Linked DNA regions of Lonchura striata. The main gene of each other region encodes a partner of the protein of the gene in region 3 in a complex. Links are inferred from orthologs where the notes say so. Each region holds a gene or a part of one and is shown on either strand. Other genes may lie near its edges.

The links.
Region 1: SF3B2 (region 3) and SF3A2 share a complex: the UniProt entries of both Homo sapiens proteins name them as parts of the 17S U2 SnRNP complex. The link is inferred for Lonchura striata from reciprocal best matches to the Homo sapiens genes SF3B2 and SF3A2.
Region 2: SF3B2 (region 3) and DDX46 share a complex: the UniProt entries of both Homo sapiens proteins name them as parts of the 17S U2 SnRNP complex. The link is inferred for Lonchura striata from reciprocal best matches to the Homo sapiens genes SF3B2 and DDX46.
Region 4: SF3B2 (region 3) and SF3B4 share a complex: the UniProt entries of both Homo sapiens proteins name them as parts of the SF3B subcomplex of the 17S U2 SnRNP complex. The link is inferred for Lonchura striata from reciprocal best matches to the Homo sapiens genes SF3B2 and SF3B4.

The regions. Positions count from the first base shown.
Region 1 is NC_134630.1:2,944,583-2,952,596, reverse strand, and holds the start of SF3A2 (splicing factor 3A subunit 2), read right to left. Parts: upstream 3,005-8,014; 5' UTR 2,895-3,004; intron 2,204-2,894; exon of another isoform or gene 2,184-2,203; intron 1,174-2,183; 5' UTR 1,131-1,173; coding exon 1,005-1,130; intron 1-1,004. Other genes in the region: PLEKHJ1 (pleckstrin homology domain-containing family J member 1), read left to right, coding at 3,300-3,393, 4,447-4,514, 5,487-5,553, 7,233-7,323, 7,507-7,570, 7,973-8,014. UniProt on the Homo sapiens protein: Component of the 17S U2 SnRNP complex of the spliceosome, a large ribonucleoprotein complex that removes introns from transcribed pre-mRNAs.
Region 2 is NC_134617.1:9,331,699-9,338,859, forward strand, and holds the start of DDX46 (putative ATP-dependent RNA helicase DDX46), read right to left. Parts: upstream 3,012-7,161; 5' UTR 2,934-3,011; coding exon 2,917-2,933; intron 711-2,916; coding exon 528-710; intron 250-527; coding exon 109-249; intron 1-108. Other genes in the region: guided entry of tail-anchored proteins factor CAMLG, read right to left, coding at 4,883-5,074, 6,790-6,855. UniProt on the Homo sapiens protein: Component of the 17S U2 SnRNP complex of the spliceosome, a large ribonucleoprotein complex that removes introns from transcribed pre-mRNAs.
Region 3 is NC_134638.1:660,569-668,070, forward strand, and holds the start of SF3B2 (splicing factor 3B subunit 2), read right to left. Parts: upstream 3,007-7,502; 5' UTR 2,998-3,006; coding exon 2,853-2,997; intron 1,947-2,852; coding exon 1,900-1,946; intron 1,258-1,899; coding exon 1,161-1,257; intron 639-1,160; coding exon 463-638; intron 1-462. Other genes in the region: putative RNA-binding protein EIF1AD, read left to right, coding at 3,748-3,834, 5,265-5,373, 6,787-6,895. UniProt on the Homo sapiens protein: Component of the 17S U2 SnRNP complex of the spliceosome, a large ribonucleoprotein complex that removes introns from transcribed pre-mRNAs.
Region 4 is NC_134635.1:2,714,939-2,721,767, forward strand, and holds the start of SF3B4 (splicing factor 3B subunit 4), read right to left. Parts: upstream 3,006-6,829; 5' UTR 2,991-3,005; coding exon 2,957-2,990; intron 2,360-2,956; coding exon 2,231-2,359; intron 1,957-2,230; coding exon 1,414-1,956; intron 408-1,413; coding exon 213-407; intron 1-212. UniProt on the Homo sapiens protein: Component of the 17S U2 SnRNP complex of the spliceosome, a large ribonucleoprotein complex that removes introns from transcribed pre-mRNAs.

The DNA.
Region 1 (8,014 bases), on a different chromosome or scaffold from region 3:
TGTGCAGGGACAGAAGCTGGACTGATGATCCCTGAGGGTCCCTCCCAGCTCAGGATACCCTAGGATCCTGTAGCTGAGTTCAGATTTTAAATTAACAGCACAAGAGAGGTTTAGGAGGAGGAAACAAGAGAGAACCAACAGCAGCTATGTGTGCAGTGGTGACAGAATTCCCAACTGTAGCAGGAAACACCACAACCCAAACCAGCCCTGGGGAGACTGGAAATAGATGGATACACAAGAGCTGGCACCTCCTTGTCACTCTGTCCTAAATATTCCTTATTCAACCCCCACATGCCCAGAAACAGATGTATTTAAACCCAATCCACACCTCAGCCTGGAAACAAGGAGGCTCTGGGGTGACCATAAAGCCTAAAGGGGCTCCAAGAGAACTGGAGGAATGTCGCCCTGATTCTTAAGATTTTCTAAAGCCTTCTGAGTTTCCATTCTGTTAGAGAACTTTCTCACACAACTTTCTGTAAACAACTTATTGTTCTGCATTCCTTCATAGAGGTGGAGAAACTTGATGTACTAGTAGTTTGTCCAATGTCATTGGAGAGGTGGCACTTGCACCCTCCAATCCACTGTTACCTTTAAAAAAGTATAAATGCTGGAGTCAGAAAATAAACTCTTTCTTTTTCACCTTTGCAATAGTAGCAGCTTGTGTCATGCTTTCATGTGTCCTATACCGACAGAGGAAAACTTTGGAAAAGGGCCTGGAAGGACAGGACAAAGGGAAATGGCTTCAAAGAGACCAAGAGTAGGTTTAGATGGGAGACTGGGGAAAAATTCTTGGCTGTGAGGGTGGGCAGCTGGCATGGATTTCCCAGAGCAGCTGTGGCTGCCCCTGGATCCCTGGAAGTGTCCAAGTCTAGGCTGGACAGGGCTTGGAGAAACCTGAGATGTCCCTGGATGAGCTTTAATGCTCCCTTCAACCCAAAGCACTGCAGGATGCCATGAATGTGACTGTGCCCGGTGTCCCCCGGGCTGCGGGGGCTCCCCTGCACCTTGTTGATGTCGATGGTCTCCAGGGCCAGCTGCCGCAGCCGCTCCCGCCGGTCCCGGTTGCTCTCGGAGGCCGAGGCCACGCCCCCGCTGCCCGTTTTACCCCCGGGCCGGTGCTGGAAATCCATGCTGGGGATTTCTGGGCTTCAGCTCCTCCTGGAGAAATGGAGTCTGCCAAGAGGAAGGAGTGTCAGGGACAACTGAGCCACAGGACTCTTCAGCCGCAGCAGCGAGGGTGGGGGTGACACCCAGGCATGCCCCAGGCACACAGCACGGGATGCAATCCCACATGGAGCACATCCGGCACCACCGACCTGGGAAAGCCGAGTACGGATCCAGAAAATCCCCCCGGAGCCCTTCCCATCACCTCAGCCACTCCAAGCCCAGCTGGGCCCCACCAGAGGAGCCTTCCCCCCTCACCTGAGGTACCAACAGCCCCAGAGCTCCTCCCTGACCACCACCAGGTCTATGCTCCCCCACCACCCCCAAAGCCCCAGGGCCACCCCCAACACCAAGGGAGGGTCAGAGCCCCCCAAGCCCCCCAACAAGGTCAGGGGTTCTGAGCAATGTCCCCAAGCCCCAGGTGAGGTCCTGGAGTCCCCCCTGCCCTCAGCAAGGTCAGAGCCCTGCCTAGACCTCCCCACAGGGAGCCCAAACACTGGAAAGACCTTTGAGGAACCCCAAATCCTTCCCCACAGAGCACCCAGTTCTCCAGTGTCTCGTCCCCAGTCCCTCTCCAGCCACATCCCCCTGTAGCTTCAGTCCTGATTCAGCCAGTCAAGGCCCACTGACTCCCACTCAGGTGCTCTTCCCCATCCTCCCCACACTCCCCTGGCCCTACCCCAGTTTCCCACTCGTGATTCTCCAGCTCCCCCAGCCCCACCACCCCAGTTCTCCTAGTCCCTCCATTTCCAGCACCCTCAGTTTCTCCAGCACCCCCAGTCCTCCCACCCAGGGCACCCAGTTTCCCCAGTACTTTTCCAGTAGCTCCATCCCAGTTCTGCATTCGGCAACCTCCAGGTGCCTCCGTTCCTGCCCCGCTGATCCTCCCAGTAACCCAAATCCTGCCCTGGTGCTACCCTGGTTTCCCACTCGTGATTCTCCAGTTCCCCCAGCCTCACCACCCAGACCACCCAGCACTCCCAGTCCCTCCTCACCCAGTTCTCTCAATTCTTCCTTACCCAGCTCTCCCAGTCCCTCCTTCCCAGCTCTCCAGTCCCTCCTCACTCAGCATGCCAAGTCTCTCCATACTCCAAACTCCCAGTCCTTCTTCACCCAGTTCTCTCAATTCCTCCTCACCAAGCTCTCCTAGTCTCTCCATACCCAGATCTCCCAGTCTCTTCTCCCCCAGTTCTCTGAATCCTCCTCACCCAGCACTCCCAGTCCCTCCTCACCCAGTTCTCTCAATTCCCCTTCACCCAGCATTCCACATCTCTCCATACCCAGCTCTCCCAGTCTCTCCATACCCAGCATTTCCAGTCCCTCTTTCCCAGCTTTCCAGTCCCTCCTCACCCAGCATTTCCAGTTCCTCCTTTCCCAGTTCTCCCAGTCTCTTCTCTCCCAGCTTTTGCAATCCCTCCTTTCCCAGCTCTCCAGTCCTTCCTCACCCAGTTCTCAATTCCTGCTTCCCAGCTCTCCCAGTCTCTCCATACCCAGCATTCCCAGTCCCTCTCTTCCAGCTCTCCCAGTCTCTCCTCACGCAGCACTCCCAGTTGCCCAGCCCCGACTCCCCAGTTCCCCCAGTCCTGCCCCGTTCCCCCTCAGTCCCCCTCTCCCCTCAGTTCCCCCTCTCCCCTCACGGCCCCTCTTCAGTCCCCCTCTCCCCTCATGGCCCCTCTCCCCTCAGCTCCCCTCTCCCCCCTCTCCCCTCAGGGTCTCTCCCCGCTCCGAACCTGCGCGCGGCCGCGCTCCCGCCCCGGCGCCTGCGCGCTCCCGCGGCTCCGCGGTGTTTCCGGCCCGCCGAGGCCGTTCCGGCTCCGAAGCCGTTCCGGGCCCGCCGAAGCCGTTCCGGGCCCTGGAGCCGTTCCGGCCCCGAAGCCGTTCCGGGCCCCGAAGCCGTTCCGGCCCCGAAGCCGTTCCGGGCCCTGGAGCCGTTCCGGGCCCGCCGAGGCCGTTCCGGGCTCCGAAGCCGTTCCGGGCTCTGAAGCCGTTCCGGGCCCCGAAGCCGTTCCGGCCCGCCGAGGCCGTTCCGGGCTCCGAAGCCGTTCCGGCCCCGGAGCCGTTCCGGGCGCTCTGAGGGCGCTTCCGGCGGCGCTGGGGCGGCCCGGGCGGGGCCGTGGCCGGGGCCGGGGCCCGCCATGCGCTACAACGAGCGGGAGCTGCTGTCCCTGGCCCGGCAGCCGGCCGAGAAAGCGGCCGAGATCCGCATGAGTGTCCCCAAGAAGGGCAGCGGTGAGCGGGATCCGCGCGGGGCGCAGCCGGGGCTGGGGTACCGGGGCGGGAGCGCGGGGGGATCGGCGCTGCCTGAGGGGCCCCGAGCGGGGAGGCAGGGCTGGGACAGCGGGAGCGGTGTGCGAGGGGAGCTGCGGCGGTGGGGCTGAGGATACTGGGGAAACTGGGGCGGCTCCGAGCCGGGACTGGGCGAACTGGGAGTGCTGGGGGAGGCAGGGGAAGGTGGGACAGGACCGGCGGTACCTGGGGGGCAGAGTCGGGACTGGGGATACTGGGAGGGACTGGGAAGGTGCCGTGGGTGGTGGGGCTGGGGGAACTGGAGAATCACGAGTGGGAAACTGGGGTAGGACCAGGGAAGGGCTGAGGGTACTTGAGGGGCCCCGACTGCAGAATCAGAACTGGAGCTGCTGGGGGAAGAGGCTGGAGAGGGTCTGGGGGAGCTGGGTGGGAGGATTGAGGGTACTGGAGAATCCAGGCTGGGAAACCAGGGCAGGACTGGGAGTGCTGGGAGGCAGGGCTGGGGACAGGCAGGCTGGGAGGGCTGGAGTGTGGCAGTGGGGAGCACGAGTGCTGGGCTCCAGTATGGGCGTGCAGGGAGGTTCTGGGGCTGGGCTGGGGCCAGGGAGATCCCCCATTTCCAGGGGATCTGGGGAAGAAGGTCTTCCCTGAAATCTCCTAGAAAATTCCCCTGCAAACAAGCAGTGTTGTGCTCACTCCCTTGTCCTGAGCCTTTCGTCCTCTGAGCACCTGCTGGACTTTGTCCCGTGGGGGTGACGCCCGTGCTGGCAGCTCCAGGCAGGGCTCCCAGGATCCGGAGCTTTTCCTGGAGTGCCTGGAGCCCCGTGGTGCTGCTGCTGTGAGCTCTGACTGCCCGGGAGCTGCTCAGGGGCTTTGTCACCCTGAGGCCACTCAGACACTGTCACCCTGAGGGAGCAGCCTCGGGGGGTGCCTTGGTGGGGTCAGCGCCACGCTGGGCCCTGGCAGGGTGGGCAGGGCTCCCCTGCTCCCCGTGCCCCTGCCTCAGCCCTGCCCTGCTCCCTTGTGCCCCTGCAGTGCTGAAGAAGCGCCTGGTGAAGCTCGTGGTGAACTTTCTCTTCTACTTCCGCACCGATGAGGCTGAGGTAGGGATTGGGCCTCTGCGTGGGGTTTGTTCCCCTCCTCCTTTCTTCTTTTTCTATGCCTGGATTGTGTGGGCTGGGAAAATGGTGCATGGCAGAGCTGGAGCAGGGTCCACCTTCCATCAGTTCAGCAGGGCTCCAGGAGAGCTGGAGAGGGACTGGGGACAAGGCCTGGAGGGACAGGACACAGGGAATGGCTCCCAGTGCCAGAGGGCAGGGCTGGATGGGAGATTGGGCAGGAATTGTTCCTGGCAGGGTGGGCAGGCCCTGGCACAGGGTGCCCACCCTGGATCCCTGGCAGTGCCCAAGGCCAGGCTGGACAGGGCTTGGAGCAGCCTGGGATGGTGGAAGGTGTCCCTGCCATGGCAGGAGTGGCACTGGATGGGCTTTGAGATCTCTTCCAACCCAAAGAGTTGTATGAAATGCAAGATAAATCAGGTCTGCAATCCCTTCCCTGCTGCCTGATTTGCTTCTGACATGTTGGTTCACTTGGACAAGGATTTCTTGTGGTTGCTTTTGTTCATGGCCAATGTCACCTGCTGTCCCCGTGTCCCTGAGTAGTACCAGGTGGTTTTTTGGTCATCCTCAGCTGCTGCAGCTCTGCTCACACTTGCAAGGCTCCAGGACAGCCCTTGCATAGCTCAGTGTTGGTTATTCTGGGTGTCACAGTAAATGTTTCATCTTTGATTTTAAAAGCAAATGTTTTTCTCTGGTATCACAGAGTGGTTAAGACCAGGCTGAAACTGAGCCAGTAGAGATGATTGACACCTAATTAACAAATGCAAAGTGTTGCAGGTGAGACTGGCATGAAAAGGTGATTAAAGGAACATGAAATATGGTGCAATCAGAATGAATTATTCAAAAGCAGCACCAGCTTGTGAAAGTTGCTTAAAAGGCTCCAGGGAAGTACCGTGGGTTGAGCCCTCGTGGTGTTGGGGCCCCTGTGGGTTAAACCTTCTCTCCATGTGTTTTCAGCCCATTGGAGCTCTGCTGCTGGAGCACTGCAAGATCACCAAAGAGGAGGAGAACGTCTTCTCCATCAGTGAGTGCTGCCTGTGCACCCCTTTGCCTTCCCCTGGTGGGAAAGGGAATGCTGAATGCTCAGTTCTGCTTTCCCCTGTTTCCCTGGTGCAGTGGGGTCAGCTCAGCCCTTCCCCTCCTCAGTGGGGTCACTGCCCCCAGCCCTTCTCCTCTCCCTCAGTGGGGTCAGGGCCCTTCAGGTGGGGGTCAGGCTCTGCTCCCAGGGAACAGAGGACAAGACAAGAAGAAATGTCCTCCAGTTGTGCCCAGGACAGGTTTAGATTGGATACTGGGGAAAATTTACTCACCAAAAAGGTTTGGAAGTACTGGCACGGACTGCCCAGGGCAGTGGTGGAGTCCCCATCCCTGGGAGTGTTCAGGAGATCTGTGGATGTGGCACCTGGGGACAGGGGTGAGTGGTGAACCTGGTGGTGCTGAGCTGATGGTTGGACTTGATGGTCTTAAAGGCCATTTCCAACTTTACCAATTCCTCAACCTTTCCCCTCCTCAGGTGCCAGCTGTTCCTCACTGTGCCTGTGGCCATCCCGAGGAAAGCTCAGGGATATTCCATGGCACAGCCTGAGGGACTTGCACAGCTGCACGTGCAGAGCAGCACTAAGAGCAGCCAGGCCCCACTGCCTGCCTGTGGAATCTCTGGCAGGGGGAGCTTGGTTATTGACAGATCTGCTCTGTGCTGCTGCATTTTATCCAAAAAACACCCTAGAGAGGCTCAGATAAAGCTGCTCCAGCCCCATCCTCCCCTCTGTGCGTCCTTGTGCAGCGGCAGCTGGGCCAGCTCCCCTGGGAGCAGCCTTTCATCCCGCAGCTCTCCCCTCTGCCAGAGGTATGTGGCCACAATAACAGGATGTTTCTCCAAGGCCATCCCTGTATCTTTTGGCCTGGCTGCCAGGCACAGCTGTGGTTCTGCTCTGTGCTTCCAAAGGACCCACAAACTGCCTGAACACACTGAGCCTGGAGCACCATGTGCTGGATTTTGGGGCTTTAGGGATTTTGGGAGCTCTGGTGGAGGAGGATTCCTGAGCAGGGTTAAACCCAGCGGTACCTGGTGTTGGGATGTGTCCACAGCCCATCCCGAGGTGCTGGTGCAGCCTGACCCAGGTGCTTGGCAGCAGCAGCCCTGAGGGTCTGCTCAGCAGAGCTTTGGGGACAGGAACTGGTGGCATGTCCTGGCTCTGTCCTGGTCAAGAACTGGAGTGGCACCAGGACCTGCTCTCCATGGTGGGAGTACCATGTGAATACCACGTTCCCAAAAGCTTCCAGCAAAGGCAGCTCAGGGCCTTCTCCCAGTGCAGTTTAACTCCTCTGTTGGCTGCTCCCTGCAGGTATCCCAGTTCCTCTCTCAGGGCTGTTCCCACTTGGATTTAAATTCCTGGTGTCTTTGCAAGGGGCCTCAGGGAGTCAGTCCTGGATCTGGCCGTGTGGTCCAGTTCAATTCACCCTCAGTTTGGGAAGCTGCTCTTCCCAAGGTCTCTGGCTGCTGTAAGCTGGGAAATGCTGTGGGCAGCTGCCCCAGGCACCCAGAGCCACCCAGGCAATGGGAGAGGGGCTGGAGGTGGGGGCTGCAGACTCATTCCCACCTCATCTTCGTTAACAGAGCTGCTAATTGTGGCCTGGCAGAGTCTGGGGAGCACCAGCAGCTCTGCCAGGACCTGCCTGGAGCCTTTTCCTTGTCCCTGGCAGGTTTCATCGAGGAGCCAGAGAGGAAATACTGCTTTGAGTGTGCCACGGAGGAGCAGTGCCAGGAGTGGGTTGAGGCACTCAAGAGAGCCAGGTGGGCTGAGCCCTCGGAGCCAGGGCAGTGCTGGGGGCTCTGGGCTGTGTTCTGGGATCAGGAACTGGGAGGGCAGTGCTTGTCTCCTCCCAGACAAGCTTCCCTCCAGCTCGAAATAGCATCTGAAACTTCCCCACATCCTTCTCTGCTCAGCCCTTCCCGTGCTCTGTTCCTGTCTTGCAGCTACGAGTTCCTGAGGAGGAGCCTGATTTTCTACAGGAACGAGATCCAGAAGATGACAGGGAAGGTGAGTGAGTCCCTGCAGCTCAGGTGTGGCTGATGGCTCTGGCTGGCAGCAGGGGCTGTTGCTGCCAGTCCTGCCCAGGCTGTGTGTGGGAAGGAGATTCCAGATCCCATAGGGAGCCATGGTCTCCACAGCCAGACCTGAAGACCTTCTCCTGGGTGCTCACCTAACTCTGATACACACTCTGATGCTGGAGTGGCCCAAGGTTTGGAGCTGGACAGGCGCAGAGCTGGAACAGTTCACACCTGGGCAGATCCATGGGTGGAGATGCTGCTCACCCCCTGCTCCAGGGAGGGACGTGACTGTGGCTCCCCTGGACCTTGGCTCCCTGCTGTGTCCCGTGTGTCCCAAGGGCTGCTGGGCTTTGTCTGCATCTCACTGGTGCCTCCCTGTGCTCCCCCACAGGACCCCCTGGAGCAGTATGGGATCTCTGAGGAAGCTCGTTTC
Region 2 (7,161 bases), on a different chromosome or scaffold from region 3:
CTATATGCTGTTTTCAATTATATCTGAAAACCTCATCAAGATACATTTAAAAGACAACGACCTGCAGTAAGCTTTTACACATTTCTAAAGCTAAGAACACTAGAATACCTGTTTTCTGCTTTCCTGTTCTTGCTTGGACTGGAGGATCGCGACCGTCTCCCTCTACTCCTGCTCCTTGAGCGCCTCCTGTCTCGGCTCCGGGATCGTCTCCTCTCTCGGCTCCGTTCCCTTTCTCTGCTCCTTGAACGTCTGACATGCAACAAAATTGTCTTTACTTAGGATATACTCAGAGCATAACTTTATGCTTCTATTGAGGAACAGGTTATAAAAGGAACCCACCAACCATCAAGACCGCTAAGAACTTACAAACTCCAGCACCAGCAAGCCAGAAAGCATTAAATAAGGAAAAAGCCTTAAGCATTGTGAAATCCACCACAGGCATCAGCAAAGTAACTAGCTGGAGTGGGAGAACATCAATATTCAGCGGACAGGCACTTTTAGTGCCTTGACTGGAGCTGCCGTCGTACCTTTGACGCTTCCTGTCCCGCGAGCGAGACCTTCTCTTGTCCCTGCTGCGCGACCTCTCCCGCCTGCGGTCCCGGTCCCGGCTCCGGGAGCGCCTGTCCTCGCGCTTCCTCTTGTCCGACGGGGAACGGCTCCGGGAACGGCTCCCGGAGCGCCCCCGGGACGCAGAGCGCTTCCGGTAATGCCTGCGGGCACGGTCAGAGTGAGCACCAGAACCATGTGCAGCAGGCAGAATAATTATCTGAAATTCTTGGGCTTCTTAAATGTCTAAACTTCTCCAATCATCTTGGCAAACTGATTAATATACATACTGTATGTATAATATACATATACACTCTTAATGATGCTGAAATTAGAAGGATTATTTGCTCATTATTTTTCTTTTAGTTTTAGAGTATTATTATAAGCACATGAGAACACCAGAACATCAAGAACAATTTCCTTTTCAGAAATCCACTGATTTCCATTTAATATATAGGAAAATCTGAAGGCTCTTTGAAACTATCTCAAAACCTTTCAGACAAACAAAACTGCTCTTTGTTACTTTTTATGCAATAAATGTTTACCCATATAAGGTAGGTGAACTATACTTCTGCTCAGTGGGAAAGCTGTCAGACTGGAATTAAAGAAACATAAACCCTCAAGGAAGTAACACACCTGTGGTCAATGCCTTTACCATGCTGACATTAATAGAAATTCTGTAATATCAAATATCACAACAGAAGCTGTCGAAAGTCAGCAAGATTGAGGGGTGTGAGGGAGATGGGTGTCTGCTTTCCTCCTCTCATTAATGCTCTTATCCTAACCACACTGTGGGGCAGAGCAGGGAAAGGAATTTTCTAGGAAACTCTTCAACTGAATGTAGAAGTCACAGAGGGACTGTGACTGTGACCATTTCCTCTTCCTCCAATCCCAGATTTTCAGACACCATGCCAGAATCATTCCTTTGTCACTCTCCTGTGGCTCAAGACTCACAGAGCCTTTCTCCTGACAAGCCCAATAGTCATGCTTGAGAAGAAGGAAGAAGCAGAGAAGACAAGACTTGAAGCCCCCCACTCTTTGTGTCACTTGCATGGTAGTATTAAAATAGTTCAGCTCTAAAAATAGCAGTATATTTATATCTAGTCTATGTTATGTGGTATATTTAGGCAGCACATGCACTTGGAGTTAGTACAGTAGCACATATCCACATCCTCCTGCCTATCAGCAGGATAACTGACTGCAAAGAACATCCTTCTGCATGGAGACTTTTGTTTGATTTTCCATCTCCATCTCAAAATGGCATGGGATCTGCTCTATAAATCCTCTCTTTCTAATCTTATAGTTTTAGAGAACTACTTTTGTTTTTATTTTTTCTTCCTCTATAGTGTGCAATAAAGACAAAAAGATGATTTCAAGTTCCAGAAGCCCCAGTGTGAGGAACATTTCCTCACACCAACCCTAACACATGCACCCATCTCCACCCACCATTCACTCTCACTCTCTTACCATTTCTTCACTTTTAAAACTTTTTGTACGTTAAAATAGAAAATTAATACAAGTTTAAACCCACTTTTAGCATTATTTTTAGCCCAAATAGAAGGACTCTGTCATTTTCAGAAGAGAAGCTATATTGTGATAAGCAACTGAGTCCTGCTGGCTGGAGTGCCAGAGCCTGGTTTTCAATTCAGAAGGCTGTAACAGAGCCCTGTACCACCCACTGCTGCCCCAGCTCATCTGGAACTAATTTAGATAGGTTTGTGGGAGTGCCTAGCTCTGCAATAGATCACTAATTTGGGCCCAAGATGGTTGTTAAAATTTCAAGTAATCTGTCTTTCTTGGGGTGAATCTCCGTGATGGACCTGGGAACTATTAGAGTGTAGCAGAACTGCATGTGAGGACTATCATGTCAGCTTTAGCATAAAAATCTGATTAAACTACGAGACAGAGGCATATGCCCGACAGCACTAGCAAATTGTGGAATGGCTTTAAAGCCTGGTAGGTGTGAGCAGCTCCGCATCATCTGGAGCACAGGTTCGGCCCGAGTCACACGCAGCACAAGGGCACATTACTGCCGAGCTGGTTACAACCCTAATCAGGGCTTTACATCACTGGGAGAGCGCAAAATATACTGCTCCATAAACACAAAAGACACGAACAAAACCATCCAAATCAAGCTAACCCCTCTGCGTGGGCAACGATGACATTTTGGAACAAACCCGTGAAGGCCGGAGGTGCTGGTGGCACCTCGGACCCAGCCAGGCCCGAAGCGCCGCGCGGCCTCAGCGCGCCCGCCGCCCGGGAAAGCCGCGCCGCGTTGTCCCCTCACGGCCGCCTCCCCGCGCCGCGCCGCCCGATCCCCGAGCGCGCCGCGGCCGCCGGGCGGGCGAGGCGGCGGCGCCGCTCCCTCACCTGGACTCGCGGCCCATGGCGGCGGCGCTCCCGCTACGCGGCGGCCATTCCCCGCCCGCGCGGCGCGCGCCCCGGGAGCGCCGCCCCTTCCGGCCGCGCCGGCGCCCCCCGGCGGGCGGAGGGCGCAGCGCCGCCCCGGCCCAGCCGCGCACAGCGCCGAGGAAGCGGGTAACCGAGAGGCTTTTAATAGAAAACAATCGCTCCGGCAATAAACGTTAAACACAACTACGAACACCAGCAGAGGTAAGTTAAAAACGGAATAAAAGAGATTGGTTTCTTGGTCTAAGGTCGTTTCTTGATCGCCGTTTCTTCATCGAGGTTTCTTAATTAAGCACAAGCCCCTCCTGGTGCTCTGCCCATGCAAGGGTATTTATCTGATTAAAATTTATGGTGAGGATTAAAATTCATAGCTTTTTACAGGTACTGGTGTAGGGATTTTTCCAATTTATTTGTATTACATTTGGGCATATAAATAGAGAATCAGAACAAGTAATTTTTAAGTAAACTCATTATTTATGTATCTCAACTTTATCTTAAATTACTGTAATTTCAGTTTTCTGAAATTACTATCTAATATAAATAAATTTAAAGTTGCTGAATCAATACCTTTGCTGAAAAACCTAAGTCAGAATTTTCTGCAACCCAGCCCTTTATATCTGTAATATAATACTCACCATAACAGAACCAGTTTAAAAAAACCCCATGAAAATGGTCAAATCAAAACATAAGGTTCTTGTATTCAGGCCACAAACATGTCTCTAATTTAAAAGTCAAGAAAGCATCACTAAAATTGCAGGAGGAAGCTTTAACAAAAAATAATCAACTGAAAGCTGGGCCATTTAGAGAGATACAATTAAACACATCTGCGCCCTAAAAGAACCTCTGCAGGCAAATACCAAGTTAAATATGTAGTTTACTATGCTAAAAATAGGCAACAGCCTATACTACCTGAAAGTCCAGACTTTAAAAAGAAAACTACAAGCTGAAAACACTACCAAATTTCGCTTCAACAGAGATTTTCAGAGATTATCAGTGTTTAAATTGACTATTTGGAATGACACTTCCTCTCACTGTGCAAAATTCCTAAGAGATTGAAAACAAAACTGTATCCCTTGTAAGTTTTACAAACACTAGAGCAAAGATTTGATACTGCAGGCTGGGTGCCAATATGTAAAATTCTCATGAGACAACTGGTAACATAAAAAAAAAAGTATCAGTACAGGTGTGAGCTGCACTAGGATTAGGTTGCTGGAAACTCATAAACAGATGTGGTTAGTTCTATTTTTTCTTACTTTTTGAATAATGACCTTTATAAGCACCAAGACCTTCTTGTTGTTGGTTTTGCCCAGCTCTTTTCCACAACAATCAAATTAAGTTAATCACAATCACAACAAGTAAAATATGGCAAGGCAGGGATAAGAACAACTAAGTGGCAAGTTTCACCAACATTCTCCAGAAAGCAGCTACTTGGTTTAACATTCTGAACTTGAACATTTGAAAAGAATACAGGGATTTCTTTTCTTTAGAGCTTTCTGTAAAAAATGGGAACACCAAAAAATGAGCAGGTCTTGTTAGCTATAGTCATACAGGATATACACATATATATGGTTCTGCTGGAGGGAATTCTTTTCTTGTTCTCACTGAAAAGAACAAAGGCAGCTTTGTAAATGTTTATGAAGGAGGCTGAGAAGGGTGTCATCTAACTAAAACAAATAAATCATCCACTGTCACTTGCATCCTAATCTTCACATTTGTAATATGTAGACACAGTATTTAAATAAACTGAACCAACACAACTGGCAGTCTGGGACCCTGCTCTCCCTTTCCCAAAATTATTGGATTTAAGGCCCCTTTCAAGCATTCTAACAGGTAAGAATTTTAATGAAGGTTTAGACCTGCCTGCACAGTCAAATGTTAAAAGGAACAGAAAGCTTTAGTGTAGCTACTGTGTGGAATTCTACAGTCATCATGGTACTTCAGAGCCAAAAACCAAAATAAGTTCATGGCAAAAGATAAAAGTAAAGAAATAGACACAAAGGTCTGTGAAAACATCTCCCATTTTGCTGTAGGTGTCCATGGAGCGACTGATCACTTCTGCAGGGATTCCAGAGAGGAGAAGAGCAGCAGTCAGTACTGTTGTTTTCACCTTCTTCTCACACTAGAAGGGAAAGAAAACCAATATCATGTTAGTTCTCCTAATCCAATTCTGCTTTACATGTCACCGATGTTGTGCTAATTTCACACGTTCCAAATGCGTTGTCAGAGTAGCAGGTTTGCATTGATCCTGTCCAGACACACTCCAGGAGTCACAGCACTTATCCGAGACACAGATTCCTGCTGTGATGGATCTACCAGTGACAGGCTGGCTAACAGCAGATAAAATTCATCCTGGATATTCTGCCTCCTTCACACTACTTCTCCCAGCAGGCTGAGATGTGAGGCTGGGCAGCTGCTCCTGCATGAGTGGGAACATTCCCAGACAAGGGAAATCTAGGTGTAAGGAGCCAAGCCTGGCATCTCCACTGTCAGAACTCGATTAATCCATTCCACTATTCAGCAAAAAACAGAATCCCAGAATGGTTTGAGTTGGAAAGGACCTTAATGCTCATCTCATTCCAACCCCCTGTTATGAGACACCTTCCACTAGACCAGGTTGCTCAAAACCCCAGAAATATTGTTAAGTTTTCTAAGAAAAAAATTATTTAGAGTTGAAAACCAACTTTTCTGTTTTAGAACAACTTACTTTGGTAGTTTTATCCTCTGAACTCAGAAATGCTCCAAACTTTTGAAAGCTGTTCCATCCTTAAGATGAGGAATCCCAAGGATGCAAGTCTGACATGCAGGAAAAGGTGATAGTAGCTGAAAATTCTAATAATTTGATGATAATTGCTGGATATTTTAATTTAATCCAATCTAAATTAGGCTTTCTGAATATTTCTGTGTTTCATGGGAGAAAAATGAAGGTTAACAAAGGGATTGACCTCACCCACCCACGTCTAACTGCAGTAAAAGCAAATTGTGGAAAGGAGCCACCTCTTGAATTCTGAAACTGAAGGGTGGATTTTAAGTACACAAGAAACAAGATCAAGGTGATGTACCAGATGAGCTGGTGCAAATCTAAGGCTAATCTTACTGTTTTGTGTTGTGACACATCAGCTTAGAATGACTATTATGATATGCTTAACTACAAAACAACTGCTGATTTATTCTGATTTTCTACAAGTAATCTATTATTCCTTTTAAAATGCAAATTTTCCCTTTTAACTGTGGATTGAACATCATTCAATCCCACTCTGCACCACAGAACTGACAAAATCATCAACCTAACAAATGCTTAAGGAACAATTACTTGTTGTAAATATATAAAGCAAGTGGTATAGCAAATCTTGCTAATAAGCAGCAAGTTTCACACACAGATAAATGTCTCATTTCAAGCTGTCATTTAAACCAATACCAGCAGTGGAAAAAACTCAACATTCTGCCTCATTTTTTAACAACACTCTCCCAGATTTCATTGGGATATTATATGCAGAACAGCTGTTTAGCAAAACAAATAATAACCGGGGAAGGGCATGGTCTAGAAGAAAAGCAAGTTTCCTGAAGACATGAAAGAACTACCTGGATTTCCTGGTCAAACACTTTGAATTAGGCTACAGCTACACAAGCTGCTAGTTTTCACTGCAGCTTTTAAAAATATCCTGGACTAAATCTGGAAAGATTAAAAACTAGTATAAACTATCAGCGCTGGTCATTCAACTATACAGTTTAAAACAAGGGAAGAATACTTCACATGCATCGGTCCTAAAATACAATCTAAATACAAGTTTAAACTTAAAACACCTCAAATTAATCTAATTCTGAAAAAAAAATTACCTTTGGAAAGTACTTGGACAGTCCCATGTAAGCAAGTTGTAGAGTAAGAAACGGTGCAAATATTGACTGAAGGAACAGAAAAGAATATATAAAAATTAACTTGGTCAGAATAGCTAAGAAACACAAAGATTTAATGCTTCCAAAGCAGAAAAGAAAATTATTAGGTAAAAATTAATTTGTGGAACAGAGCAAAGTTGTTCTTGAATACTAAAAATCTAAGTAGACAAGTTACATGCCAAAAATAAGGTTCTGCCTAATATTCATTGAGCCAAAAGAACTGAAATGGCAGAAGAGAACAGCAAAGTGCAAAACTGAGCCCAGGGATCCAGGAGCTGTATGGCTGCAGCTGCATCACACCTCTGTGCTTTTGTT
Region 3 (7,502 bases):
CCCTTTAACCCCCAAAATCCCCCCCAAACCCCACACCCCCATGCCCCCCACCCCCCAAAATTCCCCCCAAACCTGTGCCCGCTCCTCCTGCAGCAGCAGGGCCCCTTTAACCCCCCCAAAATCCCCCCGAAATCCCACACCCCCGTGTCCCCCAGACCTGTGCCCTCTCCTTCTGCAGCAGCAGGGCCCCTTTAACCCCCCCAAACCCACACCCCCGTGCCCCCCACCCCCCAAAATTCCCCCCAGACCTGTGCCCTCTCCTCCTGCAGCAGCAGGGCCCCTTTAACCCCCCCCAGACCCCCTTTAACCCCCCCAAACCCACACCCCCGTGCCCCCCACCCCCCAAAATTCCCCCCAGACCTGTGCCCTCTCCTCCTGCAGCAGCAGGGCCCCTTTAACCCCCAAAATCCCCCCCAAACCCCACACCCCCGTGCCCCCCACCCCCCAAAATTCCCCCCAAACCTGTGCCCTCTCCTCCTGCAGCAGCAGGGCCGCCTGCTGCTGGGCCAGCGTCAGCCGCTCCTCCTCGGAGAGCCCCCCGGGGGGGGCGGGGGCGGCACCGGGACCCCCCCCACGGGCCCCCCCAGACCGAAAGTGAGCCCCAGGCCCGGGGGGGGAGGGGGCGGCACCAGGGGGTGCTGCAGGGGCAGCGCTGGGGGCAGCTGGGGAGGGGGAGGAGGGGTCAGGGTCACCTGGGACACCCCCACCCCAAAATTTCATCCCCCGGGATTCAGTGGTGGGAGGGGTCTGAATCCCCTGATCACCCCCACCCCGAAATTTAAAACCACAAATGCCTCAAATTTGGGGGGTTTGGGTGGGTTTTAACCCTCCCTCCACCCCAAAACTGGGTGTTATTGCTCCCCCTCCTAAATTTGGGGGGTCTGGGTGGGTTTTAACCCTCCCTCCACCCCATAACTGGGTGTCATTGCTCCCCCCCACCTCAAATTTGGGGGGTCTGGAAGATTTTGAGCCCCTCCACCCCAAAATTGAATGTCATTGACCCCCCCCATCCCAAAAATGTGGAGCTCTGATGGATCTTAAACCCCCCCAAAATAACCCGTGGATTGCCCCCCCCCCCCCCCACCCCAAACTGGGGGTCCTGGGGGTGCCCCCAACCCCCCCTCCCTCCAAACCAGACCCTGGGGGGTTCCTGCCCCCACCAAACCCCCCCCAGATCCCCCAAAATCCCACCTGGGGGGGCGGGGCCTTGTCCCCCTCCTCGGGGCGCAGAGCAGGGCGGCTCAGCACGATCCCAGTCTGGGGGGGAGCACAAATTTTGGGGGGGTTCCCATGAGCCCCCACACTCGAGAGGACATGGGGACCCCCCTTCTGGGAGGGCAGGGACAGCAGGAGCTCTCTCACCCCCCCAAAAATGGAATAAATGCCCCCAAAAGCACATTAAACCCCCCAAAATCAGAGTAAACCCACCCAAAATCTCATTAAACCCCCCAAAATCAGAGTAAACCCACCCAAAATCTCATTAAACCCCCCAAAATCAGAGTAAACCCACTCAAAATCTCATTAAACTCCCCCAAATCCTATTAAGCTCCCCAAAGTCCCATTAGGACACCTAAAAAATCACATTATACCACCCCAAAATCAAAATAAACAACCCTAAAATCACATTAAATCCACCAAAAATCCCCTCCCACCCCCTCAAAACCACATTAAACCCCCCAAAAATCACATTACATCCTCCAAAACTGCCATGAGCCCCCTCAAAATTCCATTAAATTCCCCCAAAATCCAATTAAGCCCCCCCAAAATCACAATAAATCCCTCCATAATCCCATGAAATCCCCTCAAAATCACAACAGACCCCCCAAAAACGAGTCCCCCTCCTTTAAGGGACACAAGGAGGGGGGAGAATTTGGGGTCCCACCGTTTTGGGGGTCTCACCTGCAGGGTGTAGGCCTGGAGCCGCTCCAGCAGCTCCTCCCGGGTCCCTGGGGGGGATTGGGGGGGTTCAGGGATCCCCAAATTCTGCCCCACAAACCCCAACCCCCCCCACGTTCCTCTGTCCCCCCAAGGAACCCCAAGAATTTCCCACCCCAGGGACCCCCAAAATTCCCCCAGGGACTCCTGACCTCCCTCAGGACTCTCAAATCCCCCCAGGGAACCCCAAAAATCCCCCAAATCCCCACAGGTGACCCCAAAATCTTCCCCCTTCCCCTCAGATCTCCCCTCAAGTGACCCCAAAACCCCCAAATTTCCCTCCTACCCCACAAATGTCCCCTCAAGTGACCCCAAATTTTCCCCATCCCCTCACACCTCTCCCAAATCCCCTCAGGTGACCCCGACCCAGCCAATTTCCCCTCAGACCTCCCCTCAAGTAACCTCAAAACCCCAAAAATGTCCCTCCTACCCCTCTGATCTTCCCTCAAATGACCCCAAAAATTTTTCCTCCTACCCCTCTGACCTCCCCTCAAGTAACCCCCAAATTTCCTCCTTCCCCTCACACCTCCACCAAATCCCCTCAGGTGAACCCTAAAACCCCCCAATTTCCTCTCTTCCCCTCAAGTGACCCCAAAACCCCCAAATTTCCTCCTTCCCCTCACACCTCCCCCAAATCCCCTCAGGTGAACCCTGAAACCCCCAAATTTCCCTGCTACCCCTCAGATCTCCCCTCAACTAACCCCCAAATTTCCTCCTTCCCTTCACATCTCTCCCAAATCCCCTCAGGTGACTCCGACACCCGCTCAGTTTCCCATTCAGATCTTTTCCCCCAAATCCCCTCACGGCTCCCGTTCCCCTCACGGCTCCTCCCGTTCCCCTCACGGCTCCCATTCCCCTCAGGTCCCGCTCCCCTCACGGCTCCCGCTCCCCTCACGGCTCGCCCCCGCTCCCCGCACCCTGCGCGGGGGCTCCGATGCCGGCGAGCGTGGCCTGGAGCTCGGGGTGGGCCCATCCGGCGTAGGGGGAGCGCTCGGGGGCTCGGGGGTCCCTGAGGGGCTCCCCGGGCCCGGCCGCCGCCGCCTCCGCGCGCTCCGCCGCCATCTTGGCCCCGCCGCCGCCGCCGCGAGCGTCGCAGCCAATCAGAGAGCGCGGCGCCGCGCGTGATGACGTCACGGGGTGAAAAGGGCGGGGCGTGCGCGGGTATTGGGGTAACGGGGAGGGTGACGTCACGGCGGCGAGGGTGACGTCACGGAAACGATGCTGGCATGAGCGGTGCTGGAGTGACGTCACAGGATTCGCTAGCCCTGCTCATTAGCATGGCCCCGCCAAGCCCCTGCCCCACATCCCAGACCCTCATTTGCATAGCTCCGCCCACACCACCTGCATTCGTTCACACCTATTTGCATAGCACCGCCCCCAACCCGCGCTCATTTGCATCACGCCAGGATTTCAGCTGGTTTGCGTGAGCCCCTCGGTGATCCAGCCCATCATTTGCATAACCGCGCTCATTATGCAGATGAAGCCCCGCCCTCTGGCCTGGCCACGCCCCAAACGCGGCCATTAATTTATCACCGCGTGGTTCCGTTTAGGCCCCGCCCCCTTTTGGGCGGGCTCAGTATTAGACCCCGCCTCTAGAGGGGCGTGGCCGCCTCAGCTTCCGCCTTCCTTCTCGGAAGTGACGTCACCGCCGCCGCTCTACCCGGAAGTGCTGCCGCAGGTGAGCGGGCGCCGCTCGGTGGGGGCGGGGCCGGGCGGGTCCCGGGGGGTCCCGGGGGGTCCCGGGGCTCCCCCCCCGCCCCTCCCCCCCCGCCGGGGGTCCCTGAGCCCCCCCCGTGTCCCCCCAGCCCCGCGATGTCGCGCGCCACCAAGCGGAAGCACGTGGTGCGGGAGCTGCTGGAGGAGCGCGTGCAGCCCGCGGAGGGCCAGAGCGTGGTCAGGGTGAGAGCGGGGACAGCGGGGACACCGGGGACAGCGGGGACAGCGGGGACACTGGGGACAGCGGGGACAGCGGGGACACTGCGGGGACAGCGGGGACACTGCGGGGACAGCGGGGACAGCGGGGACAGCGGGGACAGCGGGGACATGGGGACAGCGGGGACACTGCGGGGACAGCGGGGACATGGGGACACCGGGGACATTGGGGACATGGGGACACTGGGGACAGCGGGGACATGGGGACACTGCGGGGACATGGGGGACAGCGGGGACACTGCGGGGACAGCGGGGACAGCGGGGACACTGCGGGGACACTGCGGGGACAGCGGGGACATGGGGACACTGCGGGGACAGCGGGGACATTGGGGACATGGGGACACTGCGGGGACATGGGGACACTGCGGGGACAGCGGGGACACTGCGGGGACATGGGGGACAGCGGGGACACTGCGGGGACACTGGGGACAGCGGGGACACTGCGGGGACATGGGGGACAGCGGGGACACTGCGGGGACAGCGGGGACATGGGGACAGCGGGGACATGGGGACAGCGGGGACATGGGGACAGCGGGGACAGCGGGGACACTGCGGGGACACTGCGGGGACAGCGGGGACATGGGGACAGCGGGGACACTGCGGGGACACTGCGGGGACACTGGGGACATGGGGGACACTGCGGGGACACTGCGGGGACATGGGGGACATGGGGGACACTGCGGGGACACCGGGGACATGGGGACACTGCGGGGACAGCGGGGACATTGGGGACACTGCGGGGACATCGGGGACAGCGGGGACACTGCGGGGACATCGGGGACATTGGGGACACTGCGGGGACATCGGGGACAGCGGGGACACTGCGGGGACAGCGGGGACATTGGGGACACTGCGGGGACATGGGGACACTGCGGGGACATGGGGACACTGCGGGGACAGCGGGGACAGCGGGGACACTGCGGGGACACCGGGGACATGGGGGACACCGGGGACACTGGGGACATGGGGGACACTGCGGGGACACCGGGGAGACCGGGGACATGGGGACACTGCGGGGACAGCGGGGACACTGGGGACATGGGGGACACTGCGGGGACGTTGGAGACTGGGGACATGGGGGACACTGGGGACATTAAGGGATTGGGAACATCAGGGGGATTGGGGGGACATTTGGGACCCTGGGGACACTTCGGGGACGTTGGAGACCCTGGGGACATGGGGGACACTGGGGACACCGCAGGGACATCGGGGGGGACTGGGGACACTTAGGACACCGGTGGGACACCAGGGACATTGGGGGGATATTTGGGACACTGGGGACACCGGTGGGACACCAGGGACATTGGGGGGATTGGGGACATCGGGGGGATTTGGGGGGACATTTGGGACATTGAGGGACACTGGGGACATGGAGGGGACACTGAGTGTCCCCGCAGGTGTTGGGGACACCGGGGAACAACCTGCACGAGGTGGAGACGGCGGAGGGGACACGGTTCCTGGCCAGCATGCCACCGCGCTTCCGGCGGCACATCTGGATCAAGAGAGGTGACACCGCCACCCTGTCACTGTCACTGTGTCACCCTGTCACTGCCACCCTGTCACTGTGCTATTGTCACCCTGTCACTGCCACCGCGCTTCCGGCGGCACATCTGGATCAAGAGAGGTGACACCGCCACCCTGTCACTGTGTCACCCTGCCATTGTCACCCTGTCACTGTGACTGTGTCACCGTTTCTCCCATCCTGTCATTGTCACTGTGCCATTGTCACCCTGTTAGCGTCACTGTGTCACCCTATCACTGTCACCCTGCCACTGTCACCCGTCACTGTCACCCTGTCATTGTCACTCTGTCAGTGTCACTCTGTCAGCGTCACTGTGTTGTCGTCACCCTGTCAGCGTCACTGTGTCACCCTGCCATTGTCACCCTGTCGCTGTCTCGTGTCACTGTCACTTTGTCACTGTCACCAGGGCACTGGCACTGCCTCCCTGTCACTGTCACTGTGTCACCCTGTCATTGTCACTGTGCTATTGTCACCCTGTCAGTGTCACTGTGTCACCCTGCCATTGTCACTGTGCTATTGTCACCCTGTCAGTGTCACTGTGTCACCCTATCACTGTCACCCTGTCAGCATCACTGTGTAACCCTGCCATTGTCACCCTGCCATTGTCACCTTGCCACTGTCACCCTGTCATTGTCACCCTGTCAGCGTCACTGTGTCACCCTATCACTGTCACCGTCACCATCACTGTGTAACCCTGCCATTGTCACCCTGCCATTTTCACCCTGTCACTGTCACCCTGTCATTGTCACCCTGTCAGCATCACTGTGTCACCCTATCACTGTCACCCTGTCATTGTCACTGTGCCATTGTCACCCTGCCATCGTCACCCTGTCGCTGTCTCGTGTCACTGTCACTTTGTCACTGTCACCGGGGCACTGGCACTGCCTCCCTGTCACTGTGTCACCCTGTCATAGTCACTGTGCTATTGTCACCCTGTCAGTGTCACTGTGTCACCCTATCACTGTCACCCTGTCATTGTCACTGTGCCATTGTCACCCTGCCATTGTCACCCTGTCATTGTCACCCTGCCATTGTCACCCTGCCGCTGTCTCGTGTCACTGTCACTTTGTCACTGTCACCGGGGCACTGGCACTGCCTCCCTGTCACTGTCCCCAGGCTGTTCTGTGTCACCGCGCCATCGTCACCCTCTGGCTGTCACCGCGCCACCGTCACCAGGGCGCTGCCGCCGGCTCTTTGTCACTTTGTCACCGTCACCCGCCCTCCCCCACTGTCCCCTGCTGCCCCTCCCCACCCCGGGCGCTGTCCCTGCGTCTGTCCCCAGGCCACTCCTGTGACCCCGTGACCCCTGGGTGACCCCCGGGTGACCCCTGGGTGACCCCCGGGTGACCCCCGGGTGACCCCTGGGTGACCCCCGGGTGACCCCCGTGTCCCCCCAGGCGATTTCCTGCTCGTGGATCCCATCCTGGAGGGCTCCAAGGTCAAAGCCGAGATTTCCCTGGTGCTGCTCCCGGCCCACGTGCGCTCGCTGCAGCGCCAGGGGCTCTGGTACGGCCCCGAAATACCCCAAAACTACCCCAAAAAACCCCCCCAAAACCCAAAAAACCCCCCCAAAACCCAAACGTACCCTAAGGTACCCCCCAAAACCCAAAAAACCCCCCCAAACCCAAACGTACCCTAAGGTACCCCCCAAAACCCAAAAAACCCCCCCAAACCCAAACGTACCCTGAGATACCCCCCAAAACCCAAAAAAAACCCCCAAACCCAAACGTACCCTAAGATACCCCCCAAAACCCAGAAATAGCCACCCAAACCCAAAATACACCCAAACCCAAAAATACCCCAATAATACCCCCAAAATATCCCTAAACTGCCCCCAAAACCCCCCCAAAACTCAAACATACCCTAAGATACCCCCCAAAACCCAAAAATAGCCACCCAAACCCAAACATACCCCAAAATACACCCAAAAATACACCATAACTGCCCCAAAATAGCCACCCAAACCCAAAATACCCCCAAATCTCTAAAATACCCCCAAAATACCCCAATAATACCCCCAAAATACCCCTAAACTGCCCCAAAAAACCAACAAAAAAAAATCAAAAAATATCCTAAGATACCCCCCAAACCCAAACATACCCTAAGATACCCC
Region 4 (6,829 bases), on a different chromosome or scaffold from region 3:
CAGGAAGTGGGAGGAAAGGAGAGGTGGAGGGAAGACAAAAAGAGGAGATCCTGATCCATGTCCCCTCCCAGCTCCTCCCTGTCCCCTCCCAGCTCCTCCTGGACCCTCCCAGCTCCTCCCGGTCTCCTCCCAGCTCCTCCCGGTCCCATTCCACCTCCTCCCGGTCCCTTCCAGCTTCTCCCGGTCCCTCCCAGCCCCTCCCAGCCCCGTACCTGGGTGGTGCATCCCTCCCGGAGGGAAGGGGTGCGGGTGAGGGGGGTGTCCCCCGGCGGGGGCGGCTCCCGAGGGCGGTCCCGGGGCTCCGGCGCCCGGGGGCATCGGCGGCGGGGGCATGGCCGGGGGCATCCCCGGGGGCAGCGCTCCCGGCGGCGGCACCGGCGGAGGGAAGGAGCCGGGGGGAGGCAGGCCTGGCACAGAGGGAAATCACAGAATTCACTGAATTATCAGAGATGGAACTTCGAGATCATCAAATCCAAGCCAGCCCCAATGCCTCAGCTCAACCATGGCACTCAGTGGCATTTTTTAAACACCTCCAGGGATGGTGACTCCACCACCTCCCCAGGCAGCCACTCCAGAACTTTATCACTCTTTCTGTAAAAAATCTTTTCCTGATATCCAGCCTGTACTTCCCTTCAGGCAGATTGAGACCGTAACCTCTCGTTCTGTCAGTTGCTGAAGAAAAGAGACCAAGCCCACCTGACTCCAACCATTTTACAAGTTGTAAAGTGATGGGGTCACTCCCGAGTCTCCTTTTCTCCAGACTGAACATCCCCAACTCCCTCAGTTGTTCCTCACAGGGTTTGTGTTCCCAGCCCCTCTCCATACCATACAGGTGTGGGGCACACTGATGGAGAGTGAGCCAAGAGAAAAAAAAACCCAAAATTTGGGAAAGAGCCCTGCCCCATAAAGGTGCTGGAAAATGAGCCAGGAGGAAAAAATACCCTAAATTTGGGAAAGAGCCCTGCCTCATACAGGTGCTGGAAAGTGGGCCAGGAGGAAAAAAAAACCCTAAAATTTGGGAAAAAGCCCCACCCTATACAGGTGCTAGAAAATGGGCCAGTAGGGAAAAAACCCAAAATTTGGAAAAGAGCCCTGCCCCATAGATGTGCTGGAAAGTGAGCCAAGAGGGAAAAAATTCCTAAAAATCTGGGAAAAAGCCCCACCCCATACAGAGGCTGGAAAATGAGCCAGGAGGAAAAAAACCCATAAAAATGTGGGAAAGAGCCCTGCCTCATAAAGATGCTGGAAAATAGGCCAGGAGGAAAAAAAACCAAAAAATCGGGGAAAGAGCCCCACCCCATACACATGCTGGAAAATGGGCCAGGAGGAAAAAAAAACCCTAAAAATTTAGGAAAGAGGCGGGGATCGCGCGCCAGCACCTCGAGCCCCGCCCCGGGCAGCCGTGGCACCCACCTGGCGGGGTGACGCCGGGCCCCAGCGCGGTGACCACGGGCGCGGGCACCGAGGGCGGCGGCGGCGCGTCGGCGAAGAGCTGGTGGGGCCGGTCGGCCTGGGACAGGGGGTTCTGGGCCGCCAGCAGCCGCTCGGCCGCCGAGCCGTGCCGCTCGCCCTTGGAGTCCTTCTTGAAGGCGTAGGACACGGTGATGGGCCGGTTGCACAGGTACTGCCCGTTCATGGCCTCGATGGCGGCGTCGGAGGCGTCGAAGCTGGCGAAGTTGATGAAGGCGTAACCCTTGGAGTTGCCCGTGTCGGGGTCCCTCATGATCTTGGGGGTCTGCAGGATGACCCCGAAGGCGCTGAAGGTGTCGTAGAGGAGCTTCTCGTCGATCTCGGGGTCCAGGTTGCCGATGAAGATGTTGGCGCCCACGTCCAGGTTCTTGTTGTGGGCCGAGGCCTTGTTCACCCGGATGGGTTTGCCGTAGAGCTTGATCATGTTCATGATCTTGATGGCGTAGTCGGCGTCCTCCTCGCTCAGGAACTCCACGAAGCCGTAGCCTGGGGGATCCCAAAGGAGCTCAGGGGTGGGGCAAGACCCCTAAATGACTTCAGGGCACAAAGCCACTCCCCACACCCCGATTTAAAACTCCAGCTCGTTAAAAACCCCATGTAATTATCGACTGAAACCCCCTTGGTTTTATTGTATACCACCTCATACTCGATTCAATCCCCACTTCATGCAAACCAACACCTCCTGAGGGACAGAGGATGATCCCCCCCTCTCCCACACCACAATCCCACCCCCCTCGTTGCCGTTTTGGGGGTCCCTCACCCTGGTGCTGGCCCGTGACCCGGTCCTTGGGCATGTGCGTGTTGACCACCGGCCCGGCCTGCAGGAAGAGCTCCCAGAGCAGGGGCTCGCTGACCTTCTCGTCCAGGCCCCCCACGTACACCGTGGCATCTGCGAGGAACGGGGCTCAGCGCCGGGACCCCGCCACCCCCCGCGCTCAGAGTCACCCAAAACCCTCCCCTCAAAACCCTCCGGTCAAAACCCTCCGGCCAAAACCCTTCCCTCAAAACCCTCCCGTCAAAATCCTCCACTCAAAAGTCTCTATTCAAAATCCTCCCCTCAAAACCCCCCCATCAAAATCCTCCCCGCAAAACCCTCCGGTCAAAATCGTCCCCTCAAAACCCTCCGGTCAAGATCCTCCTCTCAAAACCTTCAGCCAAAACCCTTCCCTCAAAACCCTCCACTCAAAATCACTCCACTCAAAACCCTCCAGCCAAAACCCCCACAAACCCCAATCTCTCCTCGCCACCCTTAATCCAGGAGCCCCACAGCCTCTTTTTCCTTTGGGAAAAACCCCAGCCCACCGTGGCCTCGGAGCTCCGCCTGCTCCTCCCTCCGTATCCCCCCGCGGCCCAAAACCCCCTCCAGCGCTTCCAAGGACTCCCCACTCCCCACAGAGCCCTCGCCAGCACCCCGCACGGCCCCGGTGCACTCAGGCGTCCCCAGAGCGCTGCCCCGGTGCCCCCGGGCCGCTGCCGCCGCTCCCACCCTGGTTCCTCTCCGAGATCGGCCCCGCCGCCATCTTGCCCCGCTCCGCGCGCGCGGCGCCGCACGCACGCACGCACGCACGCCGCGCGTGACGTCAAGGCGCGAGCCCGGCGTTGGCGGGAAGCGCCGTCGTGAGGGGAAGGCGCGGCCGCCATCTTGGGTGCGGGCAGGGACCGCCGCGCTTCGTTCTGTCGCGACAGGACCCCTTCTGTCGCGACATGGCCTTTCTCTCCCGACACGGCCAGCAGTGCCCTCAGTGCCCCATGATCCCAGCGGCGCGGAGGTCCCAGGTGTGCGCTCCCGCAGCGTCCCCATCCCATCCCCATCGCTGAGCTCCCGGAGCCTCATGGAGGCAGCACAGATTTAATGGGGGACCGAGAGCCCGCAGCGCCCGTGCAGCAGCGGGGGCACCTCGGGAGCCGCCGCTCGCCCTTCCCGGCACCGCCGAGCAAGCGGAGGCGGCGGGAGCAGCTGGAGCAGCTCTCTGCTGAGAGCCCCCGAGCGGGGCTGGGCTGGCTCGGGTGCCCCCGGCTCTCAGTGCGGCCTCCGCAGGGTCCAGGTGTGGAGACGGTCCTGGAGCAGCTGCAGCTCCTCAGCCAGCCCGGCCAGCGATGGGGCCAAGCGCCCGCGCTGCAGAGAGAGCGGCCGGCACGGCGTGGGGACAAGGACACGGGGAGCAGGACATGGAGAGGTGCAGTGTTCATCATGGGACAGGGACACGAGGATGGGAACACGGGGCAGGATGTTCAGCACAGGATGGGAACATGGACGAGATGGGATGGATGGACATGGGGTCCATCTGTCCATCCATCATCCATCCATCCATCCATCATTCATCATCCATCCGTCCATCCATCCCTCCACCCCCATGGACACACAGACACCAGCTGCACACAAACTGGCTCCATCCTCCCCCCCAGCCAGACTGGGACCCCCCCCAAACCACCACCCCCAGTCTCCAGCCCTCCCCCGTGCCTCAGTTTCCCCAGTACCTGTTCCTGGGGCAGCCCCCTGAGGTAGCAGCGGTGCCAGAGGCGGACGCAGGGCCCGGCGGTGCAGGGCAGGAGCAGCCCCGGGGTGGGCTGGCAGGTCCCCAGGAGCCCCCCCTGTGTCCCCTGGCTGTCCGAGGGGGACCCCCGCAATGGGGGGCGCAGGGGGGGGCGGCTCCACCAGGGCAGGGGGTGAGGGCACAAGGAGCCCTTGGCCAGCGTCAGCACCAGGCTGGCACCCCGCCACGGGCAGGGGTCTGCGGGCTGGCAAAGGGGGAGCGGGGATTAGGGAAAATCAAAAAGGGGTGAAAGGAAAATGGGGGAGGAAAAGCGGGGTGAAAAAACAGGATTTGGAAATAAAAGGGGATGAAAGAAAGAGGAAACGGAGGGGATAAAAATAGGGATTAAGGGAAAAAGGGAAGCAAAGGAAGGGTGCAGCCCCCCCCAGGCCAGCCATACTCACCGTGCTGGGGGTCCGGGACTCAGCAGGGCCCGGGGGTCCCGCGGGGTTCTGGAACTGCTCCCGCTGCTGCCGGGTGTAGCGCCGGCCCCAGGCCCACACCGGGGGAAAGCTGCAGGGCTGGGGGCCTCCCCTGTGTCCCCCAGGGTCCTGCCAGCCCCCCATGGGTCGGTAGATCTGGCTGGGGAGCCGCGGCTGTGGGGGAAGTGGTTGGGAAGTCAGTCCCCTCTTTGGGATGGGGAAACTGAGGCACGGAGCCGGGGGGAAAAAAGGGGTAAAATGGGAGATCTGGGGGTGCCCGTCCCCAGTTTGGGAATGGGGATGGAGAAGGGGTGAGATGGGAGAGTTTGGGGGTGCAGCAATGCCCCTCACCGTGCCGCTGTGGCCCTGCTGGCGTTGGCAGCTGAAGCGGAAAGTGCTGAAGTAGGGGCTGAAGCTGCTGTCGTGGAGCGCCAGGAGAAAAGCCTCAGTGAAGCCAAAATCCGCCGGGAATTGCCACAGGAGCTGCCAGGTGCAGTCCAGGAACAGCAGGAACACGGGGGCCTGGGGGGGATTCGGGATTGGGGGGGGGGCTCACCCCTCACAGGCAGGTCCCAGCTCCTGTCACCCCACTGGGACAGCAATGGGGGTCTCACCTCCTCCCGAGGGCTGTCCCAGCTCCTGTCACCCCGTTGGGACAGCAATGGGGGTCTCACCTCCTCCCGAGGGCTGTCCCAGCTCCTGTCACCCCACTGGGACAGCAATGGGGGTCTCACCTCCTCCCGAGGGCTGTCCCAGCTCCTGTCACCCCGCTGGGACAGCAATGGGGGTCTCACCTCCTCCCGAGGGCTGTCCCAGCTCCTGTCACCCCGCTGGGGCAGCAATGGGGGTCTCACCTCCTCCCGAGGGCTGTCCCAGCTCCTGTCACCCCGCTGGGGCAGCAATGGGGGTCTCACCTCCTCCCGAGGGCTGTCCCAGCTCCTGTCACCCCGCTGGGGCAGCAATGGGGGTCTCACCTCCTCCCGAGGGCTGTCCCAGCTTCTGTCACCCCACTGGGACAGCAATGGGGGTCTCACCTCCTCCCGAGGGCTGTCCTGGCAGAGCAGCCCCAGCCGGCGTGGGAAGGGGTGCCCGGCTGCCACCCACTCCCGCTGCACCAGGCTCTGGAAGCCAGGCAGGGAGCGGGCGTGGGGGTCCCCCAGGAGCTGCACCAGAGAGGCCACCAGGCAGTTCAGGTCCCGGTCCGAGGGCTCTGGGGGGGCAATGTGGTGATGATGGGGGTCCCCTTTCCAGCCCCCTCCTGTCCTTTTCCAGCCCCACACCTTGCAGAACCACGGAGCAGCGCTTCCCTGCCAGCAGCGACGCCACCTCCACTGCTTTTCTCAGGCAGGAGCTGGGGGGCAAAAGCAGGGCTTCAGGGCACCCCAAAATGTCACTGTCACCCCTTTGGGTGGCTCATGCACCCACCACAATGCCCCCACTGCCCCACAGTGCCAGGTGGGCTGGGGGCGGACATTCCACCATGGGATTTATGGTGAATTTTCCCCAAAATACCACCCTACACCCCAAAGACCCCCTGCTCACCGGACGTGGTCCAACCAGCGTGTCCCCTCCAGGGCCGAGAGCCACTTCTCCTCTGCCACCGCGCCTGGATCCCACGGGAGGGAGTTTCAATGGGGGGTTCCCAGCTCCCCAGGGGGAGTTTGGGGGTCCTCGGGGTCCGCCCAGTGCCACTCACCAGGCAGGCAGAGCTCCCGCAGCCTCAGGTGGGCGAGCTGGATGTCGGCCAGCGTGGGCAGCTCGGCCGTGTCAGCCAACACGCAGGGCCCGCGGTCCCCCAGCAGCAGCGCCTCCAGGCACCTGGGGGGCACAGGGAGCCCCGGGTGGGGCCAGGTTGGGGGGCACAGGGAGCCCCGGGTGGGGACAGGTTGGGGGGCACAGGGAACCCCAAGAGGGGACAGGTTGGGGGGCACAGGGAACCCCAAGAGGGGCCTGGCCAGGGGCACCCTCAGCCCCCCACCCCGGGGCCCCCTGGCACCCACCTCACATCCTCGCTGCCTGGCTCCGAGGCCCGGTGAAAGCTGGCAGCTCTCAGCAGGTCCCCTCCACCCGGGTGGTGCCAGCACAGGCGCTGCAAAAAAATCGGGGTGACACCCCCACATCCCCTCCCAGTGCCCCCCACCCTGCCCAGGCACTCACAGGCACCCGTCGCTCCTGAAAGTGGCCAAAAGTTCGCTTGAGGTCGTGGTCCAGAAGCCCACTGGGCACCCAGAGGTACTGGGGGAGGCTGTGGGAAGGTGGGACACGGGTGGGGTCCCCCAAATCTCGGGTGCCATTTCCAGTGGCTCAGACAGTGCTGGGGACCCCCGGGGCTGTACCTCGGGGCCATGTCGAAGCGCTCATTGACGGCGCTCACCCTCCAGCCCGCAGCGCCCAGACGCTGCA